Linked DNA regions of Lonchura striata. Each later gene encodes a partner of the first gene's protein in a complex. Links are inferred from orthologs where the notes say so. Each region holds a gene or a part of one and is shown on either strand. Other genes may lie near its edges.

Region 1 (11,819 bases):
ACTTACCTGACCACAAGCCCTACTTAAATACTGTATGAAAATAAAAATGTTTTTCTTGCAGTTACTACACAGAAAGCATTCTCAGCAGCAGCACTTGAGAGGTACCAACAAGCCATCCCAACAAATTACGTTAGAAATTACCTAGTGGACTGCATTTGCCTCGTAGTCTCTGGATCCTCAAACATCTTGACAATAGGTTCTGTTTCAGCTTGAAGCTGCTTCAGCTGTGCAACAACAGTTGTTCTTTTCTCACGCAAAGCTGAACACAAACAAAAATACTTTAATATAATGCTTTAAGTTTTTACATGAACCACCCTGTAATTACATGGTGCTGACACTTCAACACATCTTTGCAATTCCTACGTGACCTGTCCTCTCAGTCAAGCTTCAAATCCAGCTGTGTATAACAATTCTGTAACTTAGTAAAAACTTCTAACATTTGGCTCTTTCTCCTGTGTGGAGGCCACCAGAGAGCAGGTACAGCTGGAGCAAAGTCTGTATTACATGAGGTATCTTCAGGCTTCCACTAAGGGAGAAGCAACCTTTAACTAAGTTCACTTAATCCAAATAAACTCGCAAAAAACGAAACAATCCAATGATATACAAAGATAGATTTTCTTCTTACTGATGATCAGGTTCTGAAAGAACATTTAGAGAATACTTAACTAAAAAGGAACAAGAAAAATTTCAAGCAGCTCAACCTGCAAAATTATGATTTTGAACGCTGTGTCCTTAATGGAAACATTAAGCCCTTGATGAAAAACTGTTAGGAAATTCAACTAAGTTTTAGGGTGATTGTTTTGCACAGACCCCAAATTCCTTACCAAGTGACAGCAATGCAATAAAATGAAGACTTAAAATCCAAAAAAGTGTATATATTTAAAAAAAATACACAAAAAATCACCCTGACATTGGCTATGTAAAACACACAGGATCAGAGAAGCCAAGACTAAATCCCAGGAGATAAATGCAGGAAACTCCAAAGGTGAGCCACACACCAGAACACTCAATGCCACAGTAAACAGAGTCAACAGTTCTTTAATGATTTGACTACACAGATATTTGAACGGGACATCCAAGGTGGTTAACACCATAATGGTGACCCAACCTAAATATGAGAACAACTTGCCTGACAGGAAGTGTTTCAGTAAGGAGAAATTACCTCCACCTTTAGTTGACTCTTGAGATTATAAAAGAGGAAGAAGAAACAGATAAAAGAAAAAACATTCAGTTGACTTACTATGAATACAAAAATGTTTTCCTGTGACATCTCCTGGGTGTGTAATTTTAAGTCGATCTCATGGAAGACAAGACAAAAGGAACTCTAATTCATGCAGGGATATTTCCAATTATAACTGTGTAAGTGAACTTAGCTTTGAGTACTTTAAATAGTGAAATCTTAAAAAGGGTAAACTTCTAATGATGCCAGCAGTTCCACGAGTAAGAACCACCAGTCCACACACGCATTCTGATAAGCACTGATACAAGATGATACACATACCAGAAAGATCTCAGGTCTTTGCATAGAAAGCTGTGCAATCAAACACCCTGAACAATGTGTCAAAGAACTAGCTCTGCTTATGTTAACTGAATAAAAGCCACACATCAAACAACAGTAAGTCATTATACAAAAAAAAAAAAAAAAAAAACAAAAAAAAAACAACCTGCCAAACTGATGATGTAAAATCTTGAAAGGTAGTTTTTCTTATACTCTTTTCAAACAAGTGTGGAAATTGCTGGTATTTGATGAAGGAAGAGGTCTCCAAGTGAGCAAGTTAATTCAACTTTCTTGCAGCTGTGACCTTATGAAGTTATACCCTAAGGTAATCTGCTTTACTAACTGGCTACAATCAGAATTCTGAAGACATCTGGAGTAGTTATTTTGTGGAAGTCTGCTAAAATTACTATTTCTTGTATTGCTTACTTCTTTAGTATTTTACTCCTTAATTATTACTGATAACAGTAATATTCAACAGTTTAAAAAGGCTGAAGCAGGCAAAGAAAGAGGAATATCTATTCAGCTCTGTGATTTTTGTTATAGCCTTGATACAGCCTGACTTTTTTAATCAGTAGGACTGCTAAGTAACCTAAAGGTAAAGCTATTACCACAAGTGTTTCTTTAGTTACAGAAGTGAAACCCTCTGGTTCTCATTACATGTTAAAGTCCCATGTGTCACAGTACACATGGCTATAACAGTGCTGGCACTCATGCCCATAACAACAGCCACCCAACACTAGCACAGACTTGGCCAAAACATTGACTCCCATGTCCATAAGCCTATCAATTCTCTTCTTCCAGAGAGGTGAGTGGCCATCTCTGCAGCTTCAAGAGCCTGAAAAGAGCAAGACCCAGAGGAAAAATGCAGCAGCACCCAAGTCTCTTATTCCTAAGATGCAGCAAAATAGACTGTAGTCCCAATACCTAAAAAAATATGAGGCATTCACCAACATGGAAAAAAGGTGGAAAAATAGGAAGACAGTGGATATTGGAAGACTAGGTCAGGAAGAAATGAATAAAATGAAACACCCAACCCATTATAAAAAAGAACTGGGAGAAAACTCTTAAAATCAAAACACCCATGAAGAATGGAAATTAGATAAAGGTATATAATCTATTTTCTCCCCATTCCCAAATGTTCCTCAAAATTACAGAAATTTAAGTAGCAAACAGAGTAGTTATCAAAATCACGGATAAGATAGTAAGACATCACCTTCATTATAAGTTTAAATATATTTTGTCCTAGGGAAGCAAGTCTTATATTGCCAAAACTGAGGAAAACACACACTTTCAAAAAAAAATCTCTCTCTCTCAAGACCTAAAAATCAGCCACAGACAGACAAATCAATGGAATTACTTAGACAATGCAACTCTAATCTTAACATACTGGATGCTTTAAAGAAAAAGTCACCAAATCATTGTTCAAGTGTTTGACAGATGAAAAGCTACTGCAACTCCATTAGTTGCAGCACAACACCTCTAAAGTTCTTGAAATTACCAAATCAGCATTGAAATACTTATGAGGTCACTCAAAGGTCAAGTTCCTGACAGACCAACAAAACCAAACTTCCCAGGATTAGGGCATTCTGCTTGTCTCAGTATCTTTTTGATAATGACAAAGTTAAATAGTACCCTAGTTTTTGAATGCAACAAGCAATTACCACTAGTTATTTATTTTTGACAGAAAGGTTGAAAAACAAGATTTACATCTAAATGAGCAGCTTACCATGAGGAATTTCATCGGAATAAAGATTTTTGTACACATCCATAGCAAAATCCACCATGTTGGTATCACTAAGGAGATCCAGTTTTCCTTGGAGCAGCTCTTTTTCATTGTATATCTGAAACAGGCATTATTAACAGAGTAATCTGAATAGTGTTGAGGAGTTTCAATTCATATTATGTATTACTTTGATGGCACAGTTTATGGACTTCTGTACAATTGAATTAAGTAACAAATTTCACTGCTCTATAATTAAGAGTACTTTCCATAAAGCCTCTCTGCATTTACAGTCTTGACAAAATACCAAATATTTCCTGCTATCTACGAAAGCAGGTACTTCAAAAGCTAATTAGAAGTCAAGTAAGTATTACTCGTCTCTTAACAGGAATAGTAATTCCTATTGCAAAATTACATACAAATTTAAAAAATAAAAAAAATCTTTAACCATACCTTTCTTTCAAAGTACTGAATACTTTCCACAAAATAAAATGCTGAACAGTGAGGACTAGTTAAATTATCTAAAGTGAATCTCAGAAAAGATGCACAAGATTAAACTCACAATTTAACTGTAGTGCAGATTAACCTAAAATATGTTGCTAGGTCTATAGCATAAAAACAAATTTAGAGTATGTAATCGAATAGCGTACTTAAAACTTTTCAAATTGTTTTCTAACGTTCATACTCCATAATTTATCAGTGAGCTACAAACTGCTGTTAGATTTTGAAGATGTAGGTGACGGCCAAACCCAGTATATTCCTCAAAAACATATTTGCACAAGAGCTGCATTACAACTCACCACATTGCAGATACAGAATCTGTAGAAGTTTAATTCAGCTATGAACATTGTACTGTTAAAAACTAACACCACAAAATAAACTATTTAATTAACTTCAGCTACCATAAAAATGCCCCCAAGATGACAGACATTAAGCAAACTCCACATGCTAGACCTGACAGCTTCCTAGGTCAAGGTGTCTCAATGCACGAGTGTGGTTCATCAGTTCCTTTCTGAAGGCTAAAAATAAGACCTACTTTAAATTCAAAACTTATATAACTTTACGCATTCTTCTCCCACTTTAAAATAGTTTAGATGGATGAAAGTTTATTCAAAAGTATGTGAAGCACTCGTCTGAGCTATCCCCAGCATAACTAGGTTCCGTGTAACAGTATAACTTAAAAATATACATAAGAAGACCAATAAGGGATAATTCCAGAAGGGACTTATATTTGTTTCCAACATAAATTCGGAATGACATGGGTTTCAAAAGAAAATTAGTATCATTGGCGTAACCCCACAGACCGCAGAGGGACGGCCCGAGCACCAAGAGCCGCGGGGCTATCGAGGGTGTCCCACGCCGTGGGGCTGCGGCTGCAAGGGAGAGCTTTGACTTCTCCTTTCTCCGCATATAGGTGAGGGACAGACACTACACTAAATCCGAGGAAGGAAAAAGCGTAGGAAGTCGGTGCTGCCTCGCAAGCGAGGGGCCGAGGAGCTGCGCGGCGTGATCGAGGAGCGGCTCCCTCAGGCCTCCTGTGGGCTTTGCTCCCTGCTCGTCCTTTCCCGGGCAGCCCCACACGCTTCACCCTCGACTCACGCGGCACAGGAGCCTCGAGCTCCTCCTGCGGAGGCTCCGAACCCCCACGGGCCGCGCCCCGCCCGAGCAGCGCCCCGGCCCGCGGGAGGAAGCCCCGGCCGCGGCGCGCCCCGGCCCGCGGGAAGCACCGGCAGCTGGCAGCACGGCCTGCCACTTTCCCGCTCCCGCAGCCGGCTTCCTCAGCCTCAGGAGAAACACACACCTCCTTGACAGAGAGGAATTCCAGCAGCGGGAAGACCAAGTGCCGGTCCAAGAAGTGCGCGATCCTGGTGGTCAGGTCGTACTCCGCCATCTTGGAGCCGGGAGAGAGGAAAGGCGGAGGCGCGGCGCGGCTCTTGCGGGCACTGCGCCTGCGCGGCCCCGCCCCCAGCGGCGGGGAGCCGGCGCCTGCGCGCCGAGGGCCGCGGCGAGCAGCCGGGGATGGGCGCGGTGGGCGCGGCTCCTTCCCTTCCCTTCCCTTCCCTTCCCTTCCCTTCCCTTCCCTTCCCTTCCCTTCCCTTCCCTCTCCCCCTCCCCCCTCACCCGTGCGGGGCTGCGGCACCGAGCTGAGCCAGTGCTGGGGGACAGCTCGGGCTCTCTGGGGCAGAGTGCGATCCCTGGAGGGCGAACATCTCCTGAAAGCACTGTGGGCTGTCAGTCCAGCCCACACGCTTTGTGCGTCGAGTGTCAGCTTGACTTGATCTCGATCTAATCTGGTCATGAGAATCTGAAAAGGGGTCTAAGCTGACCTTGGCTCCCACCCAGTGAAAAGGTTGTTAAGGGTTGGTCCATGTTGGCCATCTTTCCAAGCTCTCCATGGGGAGGCTGTGCCAGATGAGATGGAAAAAGGCTGGGGAGCTACTGGACAATGGCTTACACAGGGAACTCCAAGCAAGTGCAGGAATGTATTGCTGCGTTTAGCTACAGAAATGGAAGAATCAGTAATATTGCCAATAACTTGCATATTACTTGTAGTCATGGTAGAAGAATTGGCACTGGCTGCCCAGAGAAGTGCTTGAGTCCCCATCCCTGAAGGTATTTAGAAAATGTCTGGATGTGGCACTTAGGGACATGGCTTAATGGTGGACTAGATCTTAGAGGTCTTTCCTGAGCTAAATGATTCTGTGATTTATCATGTTAATTCACCAGAAAGATAAAAGGTGTCTTTTCCTGTTACACCATAAATTTTCTAGTGATTTTTGTCAGGACACACAGTTGTGTTCAGTAAGTCAAGCCTCATCTCATAAAGCATGATTAAAACCTTTGTCATGAGGAAACTTTTCCTTTCATGAGCAGAGATATAGTAATTTTTTTAGCAATTCACATAACTACAGACTATGTCTACAGGAGCTGTTCATGTGGAATAGCAAGTTAGTATAGTTGTAGTACAGGTTAATTTTAGACTTGGATGGTTTGTTTTAAATGTATATGGGAGGTGAGGAATAAGAAGGTCATAACAGTTATTAAGCCATTATTCAGGCAGCTAGTGATGTTCTCCCCACCTTAACATAAAGATGTAAAACTATAGAATTAAGGATGTGACAGGCTGATTTTTAGAGGTAGGATTTCATTACATCTTAATGGTGCTCTGTAAGGGGAAAAAAGTATGCAGTATGAATTAAGTAATTCTTTACATGACACTCAATTGTTCATATAAGTCTGTGATATGTGTAATTTTGTATTAGTAATACTCTTCTCAGAACATCATCTGTGAGAAAGAATCCCTTTTTACCTGCAAGACAACCTAATTTATTTCATAGTAGTTGTAGATACTCTTCACTTTGATACCTACATATCACTGATGGCATAGATAATCTCTAATGGTGAAAACTATCCTCCTGTATTATTTTTCCCATAATAACAGTGTGGATTTCACCAAGACCTGTTCAAACTTTTCACTGGTTTCTCCTTATGACGGTCAGATTACAGAGCTGCCAGTGGAAGACCCTCAGCACTACAAAATGCTAAAGCATCCAAGGCCCCATGCAGTGCTTGGTTTTAGTTGATGTCTGAAAGAAACAGGTACAGTAATGAGAGAAAAGGTGTCAACAACTAGCTGGGGGAGAGAAAGACCATAAGACTTAAAACAATACTGTGCCAAGGCAAAATACCAGGAAATCTCTTTTAAATTCCCTCAGTGAAACATACACTGTGCTGAGGATTACTGCATTGGCTGTATCATCTAGTGAGATACTCACCCTCTTGGTAAAATTTTTCTAAAATATATTTAAACTTTCATGACAAAACAGTCTTAGCCAGTCTTAACTGAATAACAGGAAATGTGAGTTTATTTTGAACTCTTGCACAGACACCTGACTGAGGAATTATACAAAGCATAGTACCTCTAGGCCAAATTTCATTTTTGACATAGAACAGGCTTGAGGCTGAAGTCCTCTAACCTAGTGAAGTTCTTCCCTTCTGGAAATTCTGTACTTAATATTCTTAGCACCAGTGTACTTAAGATTGCTAGCTTGGTTAATGAAATAAAATCCATTTGGCTAGAATTATCTAGATTATCCTAAATAAATCAACAGGAATGTATCTTGCTTGGGCTAAGTCTTTTGATTTCATAATTCCTAAATAGTGAGGAAATTTTATCTGATGGATTCTGTTTACATAATTGGTTGTCATTTATCTTATTGTGAAAATGACAGTGGAATCCAACATTCCTTGAATTGTTAGAAGTAAATAATCACTAGGAAATCATAAGAAAGTATTTTCTGTCTCACATTATCAAAGGGAAATTGAATCTATTAACTTCTTCCACATCTTTTGATATGATTCAAACCTTATGTAATTTGGTTTGGGCTTTTTTTTTTTTTTTTGGTATTTGTAATTCAGAAATTATATTTCTATCCTTTTTCTTTTGACTTTGTGTCTGAAAACATTTTTTAAATCCTGCATTCCATAAATATTTTTACACTGCTTAAAACAGAAATATTTCTAAAACCAAGGATGTATCATCTAGAGCAATTTGGTGCTGTCAACTCTTTCTGGATAGTGTTCAAATCTACAAAAAGGGTATCTCATAATTCAGCTGAGTCATCATAAAAACCATGATTATGTTGACATGCTATTTAAACTATCTGGGGAAAAGAAATGAGGAAACACAAGAGTCCAAAATGCAAGTAGCAGAATGTGGTCAAGTGGAAAAGGACCTGGGGGTGCTGGTGACAGCAGCTGAACACGAGCCAGGTGTGTCCAGGCAGCCAGGAAGGCCAATGACACCTGGCCTGGATCAGCAGTAGCATGGCCAGCAGGACCAGGGCAGGGATTGTCCTCCTATTCTTGGCACTGGTGAAGCCACACCTTGGTGCTGAGGCCAGTTCCAGTTCAGGAAGGACATTGAGGTGCTGGAGTGAGTCCAGAGAAAGGCTATGGAGATGAGGAAGGGTCTGGAATACAAGTGCTATGGGGAGAGGCCGAGAGAGCTGAGGAGATCTAGTCACTCTACAATTCCCTGAAAGGAGGATGTAGCCAAGTGGGGTTTGGGCTCTTCTCCCAGGTAACAATGGACAGGGCCAGAGGACACAGTCTTAAGCTGTTATTGGGGAGGTTTAGGTTGAATCTTAGGAATAATTTCTTCACAGAAAGGGTGATTAGTCACTGGAATGGGCTGCCCAGGGAGATGGTGGTCACTGTCCCTGGAGGTGTTTAAGAAAGGACTGGATTTGACGCTCAGTGCCATGGTCAAGTTGACACAGTGGTGCTAGGTCATAGGTTGGACTCAATGATCTCAGAGGTCTTTTCAAAGCTGATTCATTATAACTTCATAATTATTTGATACATTTTTTTCTTGTTTAAGAATATTGAAGGACTTGTCTAATGTAATTATAATTAACTTAGTGGAGTGACTCTTCATTTTCCTAGTGGAACTAGGATAAGCAGGCTTTTCGGAACTGAAACTGTGTTATATTAAAAAGCCAAGGGGGGAAATGCTTACCTGATGGTACTTTACCAGTGGGCTCTAGACTATATTAGGCTTGATTCTTAAATTTTAGTGTGATGTCTTCTGTTGCTTTTGAACTATTTCTCTTGTAAAACACCCCAAACAATTTATGAAGCTATTGTGTTGCAAGGTTTACTGATGATTTGAATCCAGTGAAGTCAGTCAGTCAGTTCTAATATATTCTCTGTCAAGGTTCCAGCCAAACTCAGATTTTTATAAAACAGGTAAATAAAACACTTTCCCTTTCCCTCCACAGAGGTGATTGGGAAGAACAAGACAAAGTGAAAAGAGTTATTTCAAAGGGAAAGGGGGCTTATGTTTACACTCCACTTGTCAGGCAAAATATTCCCTTTCTCATGGTTTATACTTCCAAGATGTCTGTTGGAATAAAAGTTTTAATCTCCTACAAATGCAGATATCTCTGCTGACTAGTATCCTCTTAAAAGTTACATCAGGCATAATATACTGACACATGATAGGGTTAAAATGATAATTGTTCAAAAACCCATATGATATGGGCTTGCTCTTGGTTTATTACCTTGTTTTTTTAAAGAATATAGTAATATGAAAGGAAGGAAGAGGGCAACCTCTTACACAGAAATGGTCCCTTCCTTTCTACCCTATAGTACAATTTTCATTATTTTCATCATGGTAACAAGAAAAGATAGAAGAAAGTATTTTATTTGAAAATAACACATGCATCTCAAGTGTTACCAGCTTGTCTAATTCTGTGCTTTCAAGAGAGACTTTAAATGCTTGTAAGGCAGAGCTATGCCTGGGAATTGCAGAATACTTCCATGAGCTTCACTGGATTGCTAAGGAATAAATGAATTTGGCTCTGTAAGTATGACATAGTGTACTTTAAATATACAAAACAAGGCAAAGGAAATTGTAAGTAAAGCTTTTTATCCCAGAGTATTTGAATCAACAAGGAAGGGCATAATTTAATCTTAGATCATTATTACTGGCGATGATGGAAGAGCATGAAAGAAACCATTTTTGCTTTCCATCCCAAGCTGTTCACAGGAGAGAGATTTGAAGAAAAACCACTGGAGTTCAAGTATACTTGAGCTGGAGATCTGAGAAAAAAATGAGGCTTTTCAAAATAAGTATGCTTTAAAGTTATTTTTCAAAATAGCTTTATACATTAAGAAGTACCATAAGTCATTAATTAAATAACTGGAAATTGTTCCCTCTTTTGATTAAAAAAAAAAAAAAAAAAAAAAAAAGGGGAATAAAAATGAGGGGGAAAAGTGAAATTTCCCAGTGTGAAATATCTTTAAATGTTGTATCCCCAGGATGTTTGGGGAAAATAATAGGCTATTATGAAAAAGCTTCAGTATAATGAATGTGCAACAACTTGTAGTGAATATTATTTTCACAGAATCACAGAACAAGCTGAGTTGGAAGGGACCCTCAAGGATCAAGTCCAACTCCTGGCCCTGCACAGGACCATACCCAAGAGTCACACAATGTGCCCAAGAGCATTGTCCAATTGCTGCTTGAACTCTGTCAGGCTGCCCAACCACCCTCTGGGTGAAAAACCTTTTTCTAATATCCAGGCTGAACCTCTCTTGACACAACTTCAGGCCATTCCCTTGGATTCTGGTAACTTCACATCTGAAAAGGTCTCTCTATGCCAATGAACAGTAAGCAGCGCTTACTGTGTATTCTTTTTCTACCCTTTACTGTTGGATCAGTTTAGATTAAATTATGAAATATTGAGCAGTCATAGAATGATTGTACATGAAAATCTGAGTTGAAGGTGATACATATATCACTACACTTTTTGAAACAATAATTTGAAAATCATGTGAAGTTAATATAAATCTGGTTATGGGCATGAGTTTTGTGACCTCTTTCAGATCCAGTTTCTTTCTTTGGATTTAAATATTTGCTTCCCTTTTCATTGTTCAGGAAATGAAGTTTGAAACTATCTTAGCTTAAGACATTTACCTAAAACCTTTTAAAAACCTTTTTAATTCATAGAAAATTGAGAGGATTTTTTTTTTTCATGAGGACTTTGGTAAAAGGGTTATAAACTTTAAGCTTTTTGTAGCAAGTGGGCACATTTCTTGAAATGTAAGATATTCTCTGAGCTTTTTCTGAGTAAGGGAGGGTAAAATAATTGTTTGTCACATTCATGTATGTGAGATAGGACCTGCAAAAGTTTACCAGTTTCTGTGGAATTAATTTTTATTATGTTTTCATCTTTTATTATATTGTAAACTTTTTATTATTGCTTTATTTACTACTGCATTAATTTTTATTTCATTACTCTGTTATTGGTCATCTTTCCTTCAGTAATTATGACACATTATGGATACTCTATTGCTCAAATAAGGGCTGCAAATGTGTAACATTCACAACCCTAAATTTGACTCCTAAGTACAGGATTCTAAAGTAATACCCAAATTTAACCACTGCATGCCTTGCTTGCCCTCTAGGTTTATTATGATCTGGTCAGCTCTGACCCAGAAGTCCAGAGGTCTTAACATAAGCACAACACAACCTTCTTAGAAGCCCTGCTAACTGGAACACAGATAGATGGATCAATCCCACAGTAAATTAATGCTGTCTAAAGAGCTTAGGGGGAGAAACAGGGAGGAACAGGGAAGGAGAGATGTATAATGCTTCATACATGTTCTGTCTCTTTTAGGTTCAAAATCCATAGCTCTGTGATCAGGTGGTGGACCTGGCTAAAATCTTCACATCGGAAAACAGTTCAGAGTCAGAAAAATGTGGAAGGGAGCTGTATCTCTTCTACTTATTATTTTTTTATGTACTACTTTTTTTTTTTTTTACAAAACCAGCCCACCCTACACCCTGGCTTAGGTTGCCAAATGTGTCATTTCATCTGTATGGGTTAGCATTCTCATGCAGCAGGGCTGAATTTTAAGAGAAGAGTTAGCGTTGTTCAGGAAAGTGGACAGGAGAGATATGGTACTGTGAGCACATGGACTGGACGTTCATTTCAGGTAACTTAGGAAAAGCATACAATTAAAACAAGAGACAGTCTTTATGTTTCCTGGCAGCTGCATATTTACCTGCATTTACTGAAGGAATATTTTGTC
Region 2 (11,961 bases), on another chromosome or scaffold:
CCTGGGCACATTTGGGTCACCCCTGGGCACATCTGGGGCACCCCTGGGCACACCTGGGGCACACCCGGGTACATTTGGGGACACCTGGGCACACCTGGGGGCACACCTGGGGGCACACCTGGGGGCACACCTGGGCATCCCTGGGCACACCTGGGGCACACCCGGGTACATTTGGGTCACCCCTGGGCACACCTGGGTACATTTGGGGACACCTGGGCACCCCTGGGTCACCCCTGGGCACACCTGGGTACACCTGGGGGCACACCTAGGCACACCTGGACATACTGGGGGCACACCTGGTCACCCCTGGGTACACCTGGGTACACCTGGTCACCCCTGGTCACCCCTGGGCACACCTGGGCACCCCTGGGCACACCTGGGCACAGCTGTCCCTACCTCCTTGCTGGTGATGAAGGTCATGAAGACGTCGTCGCTCACGGTCGTCGTGGCCACGTTGGGCCCGGGGGCGTCGAACTCGGAATTCCCAAATTTCTTCCAGTTCTGGGAGAGGGGAAATCCCAAAATCCCGGGAAATTCCGAAATGCGCCCGTGGGAACGCCTCGGTCCCGATCCCGTCTCCCAGGGAAATCCAATTTATTCCCGTTTTTCCCCAGGTTAATCCCATTTATTTTCCAAGTAAATCCCATTTTCCAGGTAAATCCCATTTATTTTCCAGGTAAATCCCATTTTCCAGGTAAATCCCATTTTCCAGGTAAATCCCAATTTTTCCCATTTATTGCCCAGGTAAATCTCATTTATTTCCCAGGTAAATCCCATTTTTTTCCCATTTTTCCAGGTAAATCCCATTTCCAGGTAAACCCCATTTTTTCATTTTTTCCCAGGTAAATCCCGTTTTCCCCAGGTAAATCCCATTTTATCCCAGGTAAATCCAATTTTTCCCAGGTAAATTCCATTTTTTCCCATTTTTTTCCAGGTAAATCCCATTTTTCCCAGGTAAATCCCATTTTCTCCAGGTAAATCCAATTTATTCCCATTTTTCCCCAGGTAAATCCCATTTTTTTCATAGGTGGATCCCATTTCCCATTTCCAGGTAAATGCCATTTTTTTCCCATTTTTTCCAGGTAAATGCCATTTTTTCCCTTTTCCCCAGGTAAATCCCATTTTCCAGGTAAATCCCATTCTTTCCCTATTTTTTCCCAGGTAAATCCCATTTTTCCCAGGTAAATCCCATTTTTTCCCTTTTCCCCAGGTAAATCCCATTTTTCCCCAGGTAAATCTCATTCTTTTCCCATTTTTCCCCAGGTAAATCCCATTTTTTCTCTATTTTTTCCCAGGTAAATCCCATTTTTCCAGGAAAATCCCATTTTCCCCTGACCTTGCGCCGGGCCACGGCCTTGGAGGCTTTGCGGGTCTCGATCCGGAACGTTCGGATGATCTGGGAAAAACGCGGGAATGGGGCCGGGAAATCCCAAAAACCCCAAACCTGGGGCCCTCAGGGGACAAATTCGGGAATTCCCGGAGCACCTGAGCCCAAAAAACCCAAATTTGGGAATTCCTGGAGCACCTGAGCCCAAAAAACCCAAATTTGGGAATTCCCGGAGCACCTGAGCCCAAAAAACCCAAATTTGGGAATTCTTGGAGCACCTGAGCCCAAAAACCCAAATTTGGGAATTCCTGGAGCACCTGAGCCCAAAAAACCCAAATTTGGGAATTCCTGGAGGACCTGACCCCAAAAAACCCAAATTTGGGAATTCCTGGAGGACCTCAGCCCAAAAAACCCAAATTTGGGAATTCCTGGAGCACCTGAGCCCAAAAACCCAAATTTGGGAATTCCTGGAGGACCTCAGCCCAAAAAACCCAAATTTGGGAATTCTTGGAGCACCTGACCCCGAAAAACCCAAATTTGGGAATTCCTGGAGGACCTGAGCCCCAAAAACCCAAATTTGGGGCTCAGGTGCCGAATTTGGGGTCCAGAGGCGCCAAATTTGGGGTCCAGAGGTGCCGAATTTGGGGCTCAGGTGCCGAATTTGGGGCTCAGAGGTGCCAAAATTTGGGTTCAGCTGCCACATTTGTGGCTCAGGTGCCACCTGTGCCCACCTGTGCCCACCTGTGCCCCCGTGCCCACCTTGACCTTGCGCCCGTCCTCCTCCTCGCGGTACTCGGTGATGGTTTTGATGTTGCCGTTGACGACCTCCTTGGGGGACGGGAGGGGCCCTGGGGGGGACAGGTGTGCCCAGGTGAGCCCAGGTGTGCCCCCAGGGCTCCCCAGGTGTGCCCAGGTGTGTCCCTCCCATCCAGGTGTGCCCAGGTGTGCCCCCAGGGCTCCCCAGGTGTGCCCAGGTGAGTCCCTCCCATCCAGGTGTGCCCAGGTGAGTTCCTCCCATCCAGGTGTATCCCCAGGTGTGTCCCTCCCATCCAGGTGTGTGCCCAGGTGTGTCACTCCCATCCAGGTGTGCCCAGGTGTGTCCCTCCCATCCAGGTGTGCCCAGGTGTGTGCCCAGGTGTGTCCCTCCCATCCAGGTGTGCCCAGGTGTGTGCGTCCCATCCAGGTGTGCCCAGGTGTGCCCCCAGGGCTCCCCAGGTGCCCCCAGGTGTGTCCCTCCCATCCAGGTGTACCCCCAGGTGTGTCCCTCCCATCCAGGTGTGCCCAGGTGTGCCCCCAGGGCTCCCCAGGTGCCCCCAGGTGTGTCCCTCCCATCCAGGTGTATCCCCAGGTGCCCCCAGGTGTGTCCCTCCCCTCCAGGTGTGTGCCCAGGTGTGTCCCTCCCCTCCAGGTGTGTGCCCAGATGTGTCCCTCCCATCCAGGTGTGTGCCCAGGTGTGTGCCCAGGTGTGTCCCTCCCATCCAGGTGTGCCCAGGTGTGTCCCTCCCCTCCAGGTGTGTGCCCAGGTGTGTCCCTCCCATCCAGCTGTGCCCAGGTGTGTCACTCCCATCCAGGTGTGCCCAGGTGTGTGCCCAGGTGTGTCCCCAGGTGTGTCCCTCCCATCCAGGTGTGTGCCCAGGTGTGTACCCAGGTGTGTCCCTCCCATCCAGGTGTGTGCCCAGGTGTGTGCCCAGGTGTGTCCCTCCCATCCAGCTGTGCCCAGGTGTGTCCCTCCCATCCAGGTGTGCCCAGGTGTGTGCCCAGGTGTGTCCCCAGGTGTGTCCCTCCCATCCAGGTGTGTGCCCAGGTGTGTCCCTCCCATCCAGGTGTGTCCCCAGGTGTGTCCCTCCCCTCCAGGTGTGCCAGCGGTGCCAGCGGTGCCCTCTCACCTCCCTTGAGCAGCTCGGCCTCGGCGCTGGAGGCGCCCCCCAGGACCCCGGGCAGGGGCAGATCCTTCAGCAGCTCGCTGGTGATCACCTTGTCTGGACAGGTAAGGGGGCTCAGGTGGGCACCGGGCACGGTGACCTCACCTGGGCACAGGTAACCTCACCTGGGCTCACCCGGGCACAGGGAGCTCACCTGGTCACAGGTAACCTCACCTGGGCTCACCCGGGCACAGGGAGCTCACCTGGGGCACAGGTAACCTCACCTGGGCTCACCTGGGGCACAGGTAACCTCACCTGGGCACAGGTAACCTCACCTGAGCTCACCCGGGCACAGGTGACCCCTCTCACCTGGACCAGTCCCCCCAGCCCCTGGCACAGCTCTTTGTCCCCAAGGACACAGGTGCCACCCCGACAGGTGTGCCAGGTTTGACAGACGTGCCAGGTGCCACAGGTATCACAGGTGTGCCAGGTGCCACAGGTGTGCCAGGTATGACAGGTGTGCCAGGCATGCCAGGTGCCACAGGTGTGACAGATACCTTGAGTGCCACCCCCCAGAGATGTCCCAGGTGGCATCCGTGCCAGGTGTGCCCTGCCAGGTGTGCTGGTGCCAGCCCCACAGGTGTGCCAGGTACCACAGGTGTGACCGGTGCCACCCCCCACAGGTGTGCCAGGTGTCACAGGTGTGCCAGGTACCACAGGTGTGACCGGTGCCACAGGTGTGCCAGGTGTCACAGGTGTGACGGTGCCACCCCCCACAGGTGTGCCAGGTGTCACAGGTGTGCCAGGTACCACAGGTGTGACCGGTGCCACAGGTGTGCCAGGTGTCACAGGTGTGACGGTGCCACCCCCCACAGGTGTGCCAGATGTCACAGGTGTGCCAGGTACCACAGGTGTGACCGGTGCCACAGGTGTGCCAGGTGTCACAGGTGTGACGGTGCCACCCCCCACAGGTGTGCCAGATGTCACAGGTGTGCCAGTGCCACCCCCCACAGGTGTGACAAGTGTCACAGGTGTGACTGGTGCCACCCCCACAGGTGTGCCAGGTGTCACAGGTGTGCCAGGTGTCACAGGTGTGCCAGGTGCCACCCCCACAGGTGTGCCAGGTGTCACAGGTGTGCCAGGTGCCACTCACCATCCTCTCCTCCCTCCTCCTCCACCTGGTCAGCCCAGCTGGGCTTGGAGCTGTGGGGACACAACGGCCTCGGCTGGCACCTGTGCCACCCTTGGGTGCCCCTGTCCCCTCCTGTGCCACCCCCGTGTCCCTGTGCCAACCCAGTGCCACCCTTGGGTGCCCCTGTCCCCACCTGTGCCACCCTTGGGTGCCCCTGTCCCCTCCTGTGCCACCCCCGTGTCCCTGTGCCACCCCGGTGCCACCCTTGGGTGCCCCTGTCCCCTCCTGTGCCACCCTGGCTGTCACCTGTGCCACCCTTGGGTGCCCCTGTCCCCTCCTGTGCCACCCCGGTGCCACCCTTGGGTGCCCCTGTCCCCACCTGTGCCACCCTTGGGTGCCCCTGTCCCCTCCTGTGCCACCCCCATGTCCCTGTGCCACCCCGGTGCCACCCTTGGGTGCCCCTGTCCCCTCCGGTGCCACCCTTGGGTGCCCCTGTCCCCTCCTGTGCCACCCCCGTGTCCCTGTGCCACCCCGGTGCCACCCTTGGGTGTCCCTGTCCCCTCCTGTGCCACCCTGGCTGTCACCTGTGCCACCCTTGGGTGCCCCTGTCCCCACCTGTGCCACCCTTGGGTGCCCCTGTCCCCACCTGTGCCACCCTTGGGTGTCCCTGTCCCCTCTGTCGCCTCCCCCTCACGGCCCCGGCCCTGCCCGAAGCCCCCAGGACCCCCCGGGACCCTCCCGGGACCCCCCCGCAGGCCCCGTGCCCGGTTCCCGGTGCCGGCCGTCACTCCCGGTTCCCGCTCCCGGTTCCCGCTCCCGGTTCCCGGTGCCGGCCGTCACTCCCGGTTCCCATTCCCGATCCCGGTTCCCGATCCCAATTCCCAGTCCCGTTTCCAGCTGTCACTCCCGGTTCCCGTTCCCGGTCCCCATTCCCGTCCCCGTTCCCACTCCCGGTTCTCGGTCCCACCTCCCAATTCCCACTCCCGTTCCCGGTCCCAATTCCCAGTCCCGTTCCCGGTCCCAATTCCCAGTCCCGTTCCCGGTCCCCACTCCCGGTTCCCATTCCCAAGCCCGGTTCCCGATCCCAACTCCTGATCCCGGTTCCGATTCCCACTGCCGGTTCCAATCCCGGTCCCGGTTCACGATCCCAGATCCCGATCCCGGTTACGGTTCCCGATTCCCGATCCCAATCCCGATTCCTGTTCCCGGTTCCGATTCGCACTCCCGGTTCCGGTCCCGGTCCCCATTCCCGTTCCCCGTTCCCGGTTCCCGCTCCTCAATCCCCGCCCCCGTTCCCGGTTCCCGTTCCCGTCCCCGCTCCCCCTCACTCGTAGTCCCCGGCCGGCATCGCCTCCGCCTCCCTCACGCCGCCACACCGGAAAGGCCGCGCGGCACTTCCGGCCCCCCGCGCGCCACTTCCGGCGGGGCAGGGCGGGAAGCGCCAAGCGCCACTTCCGGCCCGCGCGCGTCACTTCCGGCGGGGCAGGGCGGGAAGCGGTTGCCGAGCAACGGCGCCATGGCGGCCGCGGCCTGCTCGGAGCGCGGGGCGAGAGTTGGTTATAACTTATAGGCGCGATTTATTTGAAGAAATATTACAACATATAAAAACTACATAAAGTATCGAGTTCCACCTTGTACAAAGCGGCCGCGGGGGGGTTCGGTACAATGCGATAAAAACGGGGCAGCGGGGCCGGGCCCTGAGGGGGGGAAGGGGAGGTTGGAGCAGCACAGAGAGAGTGGAGGGAGAGGAATTAAAATAAAAAGAAACAAAGAGAAACGAAAGGCGGATTGGGGAAATTAAAAGCGTTTTAGAAAGGAGGAGATGAAAAGCCAGAAAAAAAAATCTAGGAATTAAAAAAAGGGAAAAGGAAGAAAAAATGAAGAGGAAAATAAGGGGTTAAAAAAATCTTTAAAAAGAGGAGAAAAAAGGAAAATAAAGAGGAAAAAGGGGAAAGAAAAAAAGGGATAGAAAGAAGGGGGAAAAACAAGGGAGGGAAGAAAGAGAACAAACAAGAAAAAATAGGGAAAAAAAATGAGAGAAAAGGAGGAAAAAAAAAAAAGAAAAAAGGGGAAATAAATCAAAAAAGGGGAAAAAAGGGAAAAAAGACCAAAAGGCAACTGAAAGCAGAGGCGAAGGCGAAGCAGCCCCGGAGCCGAGGCCCCCCCGGCCCCCCCGGCTCCGGCCGGGCTCAGGCGGCCGCTCCCGACGGCTCCGGAGGCACCAGGACCGCGGCGAGACCTGCGGGACACGGGGACACTGAGGGGACATGGGGACACTGAGGGGACATGGGGACACCCAGGGGACACAGGGACACCCAGGGGACACAGGGACACCCAGGGGACAGGGACAGTGAGGGGACACTGGGACAGTGAGGGGACACGGGGATGGTGAGGGGACACCCAGGGGACACCCAGGGGACACCCAGGGGACAGGGATGGTGAGGGGACATGGGGACACCCAGGGGACACAGGGACACCCAGGGGACAGGGACAGTGAGGGGACACTGGGACAGTGAGGGGACACGGGGACAGTGAGGGGACACGGGGATGGTGAGGGGACACCCAGGGGACACCCAGGGGACAGGGACAGTGAGGGGACAGAGGGGACACCCAGGGGACACAGGGACACCCAGGGGACACCCGGGGACACCCAGGGGACAGGGATGGTGAGGGGACACAGGGACACCCAGGGGACAGTAGGGACACCATGGGGACACAATGGGATGGTCACTGAGCTGTCACTCAGTGGTCACCCGGGGTCACTCAGGGTCACTCATTGGTCACTCTGGTCACTCAGGGTCACTCATGGTCACTCTGGTCACTCATTGGTCACTCTGGTCACTCAGAGTCACTCAGCGGTCACTCATTGGTCACTCTGGTCACTCAGGGTCACTCAGGGTCACTCAGGGTCACTCAGTGGTCACTCTGGTCACTCAGGGTCACTCAGGGTCACTCAGGGTCACTCAGTGGTCACTCTGGTCACTCAGGGTCACTCAGGGTCACTCAGGGTCACTCAGGGTCACTCATTGGTCACTCTGGTCACTCAGGGTCACTCAGGGTCACTCAGGGTCACTCAGTGGTCACTCTGGTCACTCAGCAGTCACTCAGTGGTCACTCTTGTCACTCTGGTCACTCATTGGTCACTCTGGTCACTCAGGGTCACTCAGTGGTCACTCTGGTCACTCAGTGGTCACTCAGGGTCACTCAGGGTCACTCAGTGGTCACTCTGGTCACTCAGCAGTCACTCAGTGGTCACTCAGTGGTCACTCATTGGTCACTCAGGGTCACTCAGGGTCACTCAGTGGTCACTCTGGTCACTCAGCAGTCACTCAGTGGTCACTCAGTGGTCACTCATTGGTCACTCAGGGTCACTCATTGGTCACTCAGGGTCACTCTGGTCACTCAGGGTCACTCACCGGCCGTGTCCTGGCGCGCTTTGGCCACAGCGCAGGCCTTGATCTCCAGCCCGATGGCCTTGGCCAGGGGAGGCGGCACCGCATTGCCCACCTGGGGACAGACGGACAGACAGAGGGACATGGGGACAGGGGACAGACAGAGGGACAGACAGAGGGACATGGGGACAGACAGAGGGACATGGGGACAGGGGACAGACAGAGGGACAGACAGAGGGACATGGGGACAGACAGAGGGACAGGGGACAGACAGAGGGACAGACAGAGGGACAGGGGACAGACAGAGGGACATGGGACAGACAGAGGGACAGACAGAGGGACATGGGGACAGACAGAGGGACATGGGGACAGGGGACAGACAGAGGGCCATGGGGATGAGGGACAGACAGAGGGACAGACAGAGGGACATGGGACAGACAGAGGGACAGACAGAGGGACAGACAGAGGGACAGACAGAGGGACAGGGGACAGACAGAGGGACAGACAGAGGGACATGGGGACAGACAGAGGGACATGGGGACAGGGGACAGACAGAGGGACATGGGGATGAGGGACAGACAGAGAGACATGGGACAGGGGACAGGGGACAGACAAAGGGACAGACAGAGGGACAGACAGAAGGACAGAGGGACATGGGACATGGGGACAGGGGGACAGGGGGACATTGGGACAAAGTGAAAAGAGGACATTGGGACAAAGGGACAAACGGACAATGGACAATGGGACAATGGAAGAAGGGACAAAGTGACAAAGGGACAATGGGACAATGGGACAATGGACAATTGGACAATGGACAAAGGGACAATGGACAATGGGACAATGGGACAATGGGACAATGGGACAATGGGACAATGGACAATGGGACAATGGACAATTGGACAATGGACAAAGGGACAATGGACAAAGGGACAATGGACAATGGGACAAAAGGACAATAGGACAAAGGGACAAGAGGACAATGGAGAATGGGACAAAGTGACAAAGGGACAAGAAGTCGGTGCCCAAAGGGACAAAGGGGACAAGGGGACACCGTGTCGGTGCCACCGCGGTGCCGGTGCCACCCACCTGTCTGTGCTTGTCCAGGATGTTCCCGAAGAGCCGGAAGGTGTCGGGGAAGCCCTGGGAGCGAGCGCACTCGCGCACGCTGACCACGCGGTGCTGCTCGGGGTGCAGCACGCGGCCCTGCAACGGCACCAACCCGACGGGGTGGCCACCATGGACCACCAAACCCAACGTGGTGGCCACCACACCAACGTTCTGGCCACCACTGACCGCCAAACCCAACGGGGTGGGCACCACAGACCACCAAACCCAACGGGGTGGCCACCACACCAACGTTCTGGCCACCACTGACCGCCAAACCCAACGGGGTGGGCACCACGGACCACCAAACCCAACGGGGTGGGCACCACACCAACGTTCTGGCCACCACTGACCGCCAAACCCAACGGGGTGGGCACCACACCAACGTTCTGGCCACCACTGACCACCAAACCAAACGTGGTGGCCACCACTGACCGCCAAACCCAACGTGGTGGCCACCATGGACCACCAAACCCAACGTGGTGGCCACTGGAGACCATCACACCCAATGTGGTGGCCACCACACCAACATGCTGGCCACCACGGAGCGCCAACCCACCAACATGGTGGGCACCATGCATCACTAACCCAACGTGGTGGCCACCATCACTGAGCGCCAACCCAACGTGCTGGCCACCACGGTGCGCCAAACCCAATGTGCTGGCCACCACTGACCACCAACACAACATGCTGGCCACCACTGACCACCACATCAACATGGTGGCCACTAAAAACCACCACACCCAACGTGGTGGCCACCAGAGACCACCACACCAACATGGTGGACATTGGAGAACATCACACCCAACATGGTGGATGCTGGAGATCACCACACCCAACATGGTGGCCACTGGAGACCACCACACCCAATGTGGTGACCACCAGAGACCACCGCACCCAACGTGGTGGCCACTGGAGACCATCACACCCAACATGGTGGCCACCACTGACCACCACACCCAACGTGGTGGCCATTGGAGACCATCAAACCCAACCACGGGGCCACGGTGGCCATCGGTCGCCACCAAGCAACCCGCCCAACCGTTGGGACACCGACGACCGTTGGCCACCATCGAAGGCTGGGGCGCGGTGGCCACCGGTGACCCCCACCAACACCCCCCGCCGGCCGTGCCCGCGGCCCCCCGCCCCCACCTGCTTGCCCATGGGCTCGGGGTTGGTGACGGTGGTGCTGAAGAAGCCGTCCCACTCCAGGCGCCCGTAGAGGCCGGCCCAGTGGTTGTGCCGGTTGCCGGTGTGCGGGAGGCACCACGGGATGAGGGTGTTGAACTGCCGGTCGGCCGGGTCGCACGGCTTCCCTGGGAAACACCAAAACACCACCAAAAACCAAACCCCGGGAATTTCCGGGAGAACGGCCGCGCCCGCCGGGCCGGGGACGTGTTTCCGGAGGTCCACCACCCACCTTCGGCGCAGGAGCAGACGCCGCGCAGGGCGCCGGCGCTGCTGCGGCCGTTCTTGCGCTCGTGGTGGGTGTAGCGCAGCTTGCGGGTGGTGGTGCCGTCCGAGAGCCGCACCTCGATGTTGGGCAGGTCCCGCCAGTCGGAGCCGGGCGCCAGCGGGATGTGCCGCATCCGCGCCGCCACCAGCGCGCTCATGTCCTGCCGCCGCCGGCGACAACGGGCCGCGTTGGGCACCGCCGCCGGGGCCCGCGACGTCCAGCGCTCCCAAAGCCAGCATTCCCAAAATCCCCACCATTCCCAAAACCACCATTCCCAAAATCCCCACCACCAAAACCACCATTCCCAAAATCCCCACCGGTCCCAATTCCAGCATTCCCAAAATTCCCACCACCAAAACCATCGTTCCCAAAATCCCCACCGTTCCCAAATCCAGCATTCCCAAAATCCCCACCGGTCCCAAAGCCAGCATTCCCAAAATCCCCACCACCAAAACCACCGTTCCCAAAATCCCCACCACTACCAAAACCACCGTTCCCAAAATCCCCACCGTTCCCAAAACCACCATTCCCAAAATCCCCACCACCAAAACCACCGTTCCCAAAATCCCCACCGTTCCCAAATCCAGCATTCCCAAAATCCCCACCGCTCCCAAATCCAGCACTCCCAAAATCCCCACCGCTCCCAAATCCAGCATTCCCAAAATCCCCACCGGTCCCAAAACCACCATTCCCAAAATCCCCACCACCAAAACCACCGTTCCCAAAATCCCCACCGGTCCCAAATCCAGCACTCCCAAAATCCCCACCACCAAAACCACCGTTCCCAAAGTCCCCACCATTCCCAAATCCAGCATTCCCAAAATCCCCACCACTACCAAAACCACCGTTCCCAATGCCTCCACCATCCCCAAATTCACCATTCCCAGCACCTCCACCATTCCCAAATTCACCATTCCCAAAATCCCCACCATTCCCAAATCCACCATTCCCAACACTTCCACCATTCCCAACACCTCCACCATTCCCAAAATCTCCACCATTCCCAGCACTTCCACCATTCCCAAATCCGCCATTCCCAAATCCACCATTCCCGGTACCTCCCCCATTCCCAAATCCGCCATTCCCAAATCCACCATTCCCAGCACCTCCCCCATTCCCAAATCCACCATTCCCAAAGCCCCACCATTCCCGGCACCTCGCCCATTCCCAAATCCGCCATTCCCAAACCTCCACCATTCCCAGCACCTCGCCCATTCCCAAATCCACCATTCCCAGCACCTCGCCCATTCCCAAATCCGCCATTCCCAAAGCCCCACCATTCCCGGCAGTTCCCAGCAGCTCCCCCATCCCGGATTTGGGCGGCTCCGGCGGGATCCGGCGGCTCCGGGTGCCGTTCCCACCTTGCAGATGTGATCCCTGAGGATGGGCTGGTACTGGGAGCCGCGGATCTGGCGCTGGAACCACGACTGGGGCTCGCCGTTGTAGGAGATCTCCAGCGCCGAGGCGCCGTTCCGGATCTCCGGCAGGTCCGACATCGTGTCCCGCACCGTGATGGTGCGGAACGGGCCCGAGTACGTCCTGCGGGCACGGGATTCCCAACTCGCCATTCCCAACGCGGAATTCCCAACGCGGCATTCCCAACTCGCAATTCCCATCTCAGAATTCCTGACTCGCAATTCCCAACTCGCAATTCCCATCTCAGAATTCCCGACTTGCAATTCCCAATT

The links.
Region 2: EIF3E (region 1) and EIF3G share a complex: the UniProt entries of both Homo sapiens proteins name them as parts of the eukaryotic translation initiation factor 3 (eIF-3) complex. The link is inferred for Lonchura striata from reciprocal best matches to the Homo sapiens genes EIF3E and EIF3G.

What each region holds. Positions count from the first base shown.
Region 1 is NC_134603.1:18,475,277-18,487,095, reverse strand, and holds the start of EIF3E (eukaryotic translation initiation factor 3 subunit E), read right to left. Parts: upstream 5,167-11,819; 5' UTR 5,110-5,166; coding exon 5,020-5,109; intron 3,340-5,019; coding exon 3,225-3,339; intron 260-3,224; coding exon 142-259; intron 1-141. UniProt on the Homo sapiens protein: Component of the eukaryotic translation initiation factor 3 (eIF-3) complex, which is required for several steps in the initiation of protein synthesis.
Region 2 is NC_134623.1:1,634,790-1,646,750, reverse strand, and holds the start of EIF3G (eukaryotic translation initiation factor 3 subunit G), read right to left. Parts: upstream 5,742-11,961; 5' UTR 5,670-5,741; coding exon 5,650-5,669; intron 4,393-5,649; coding exon 4,343-4,392; intron 3,307-4,342; coding exon 3,214-3,306; intron 2,176-3,213; coding exon 2,087-2,175; intron 1,397-2,086; coding exon 1,337-1,396; intron 502-1,336; coding exon 397-501; intron 1-396. UniProt on the Homo sapiens protein: RNA-binding component of the eukaryotic translation initiation factor 3 (eIF-3) complex, which is required for several steps in the initiation of protein synthesis.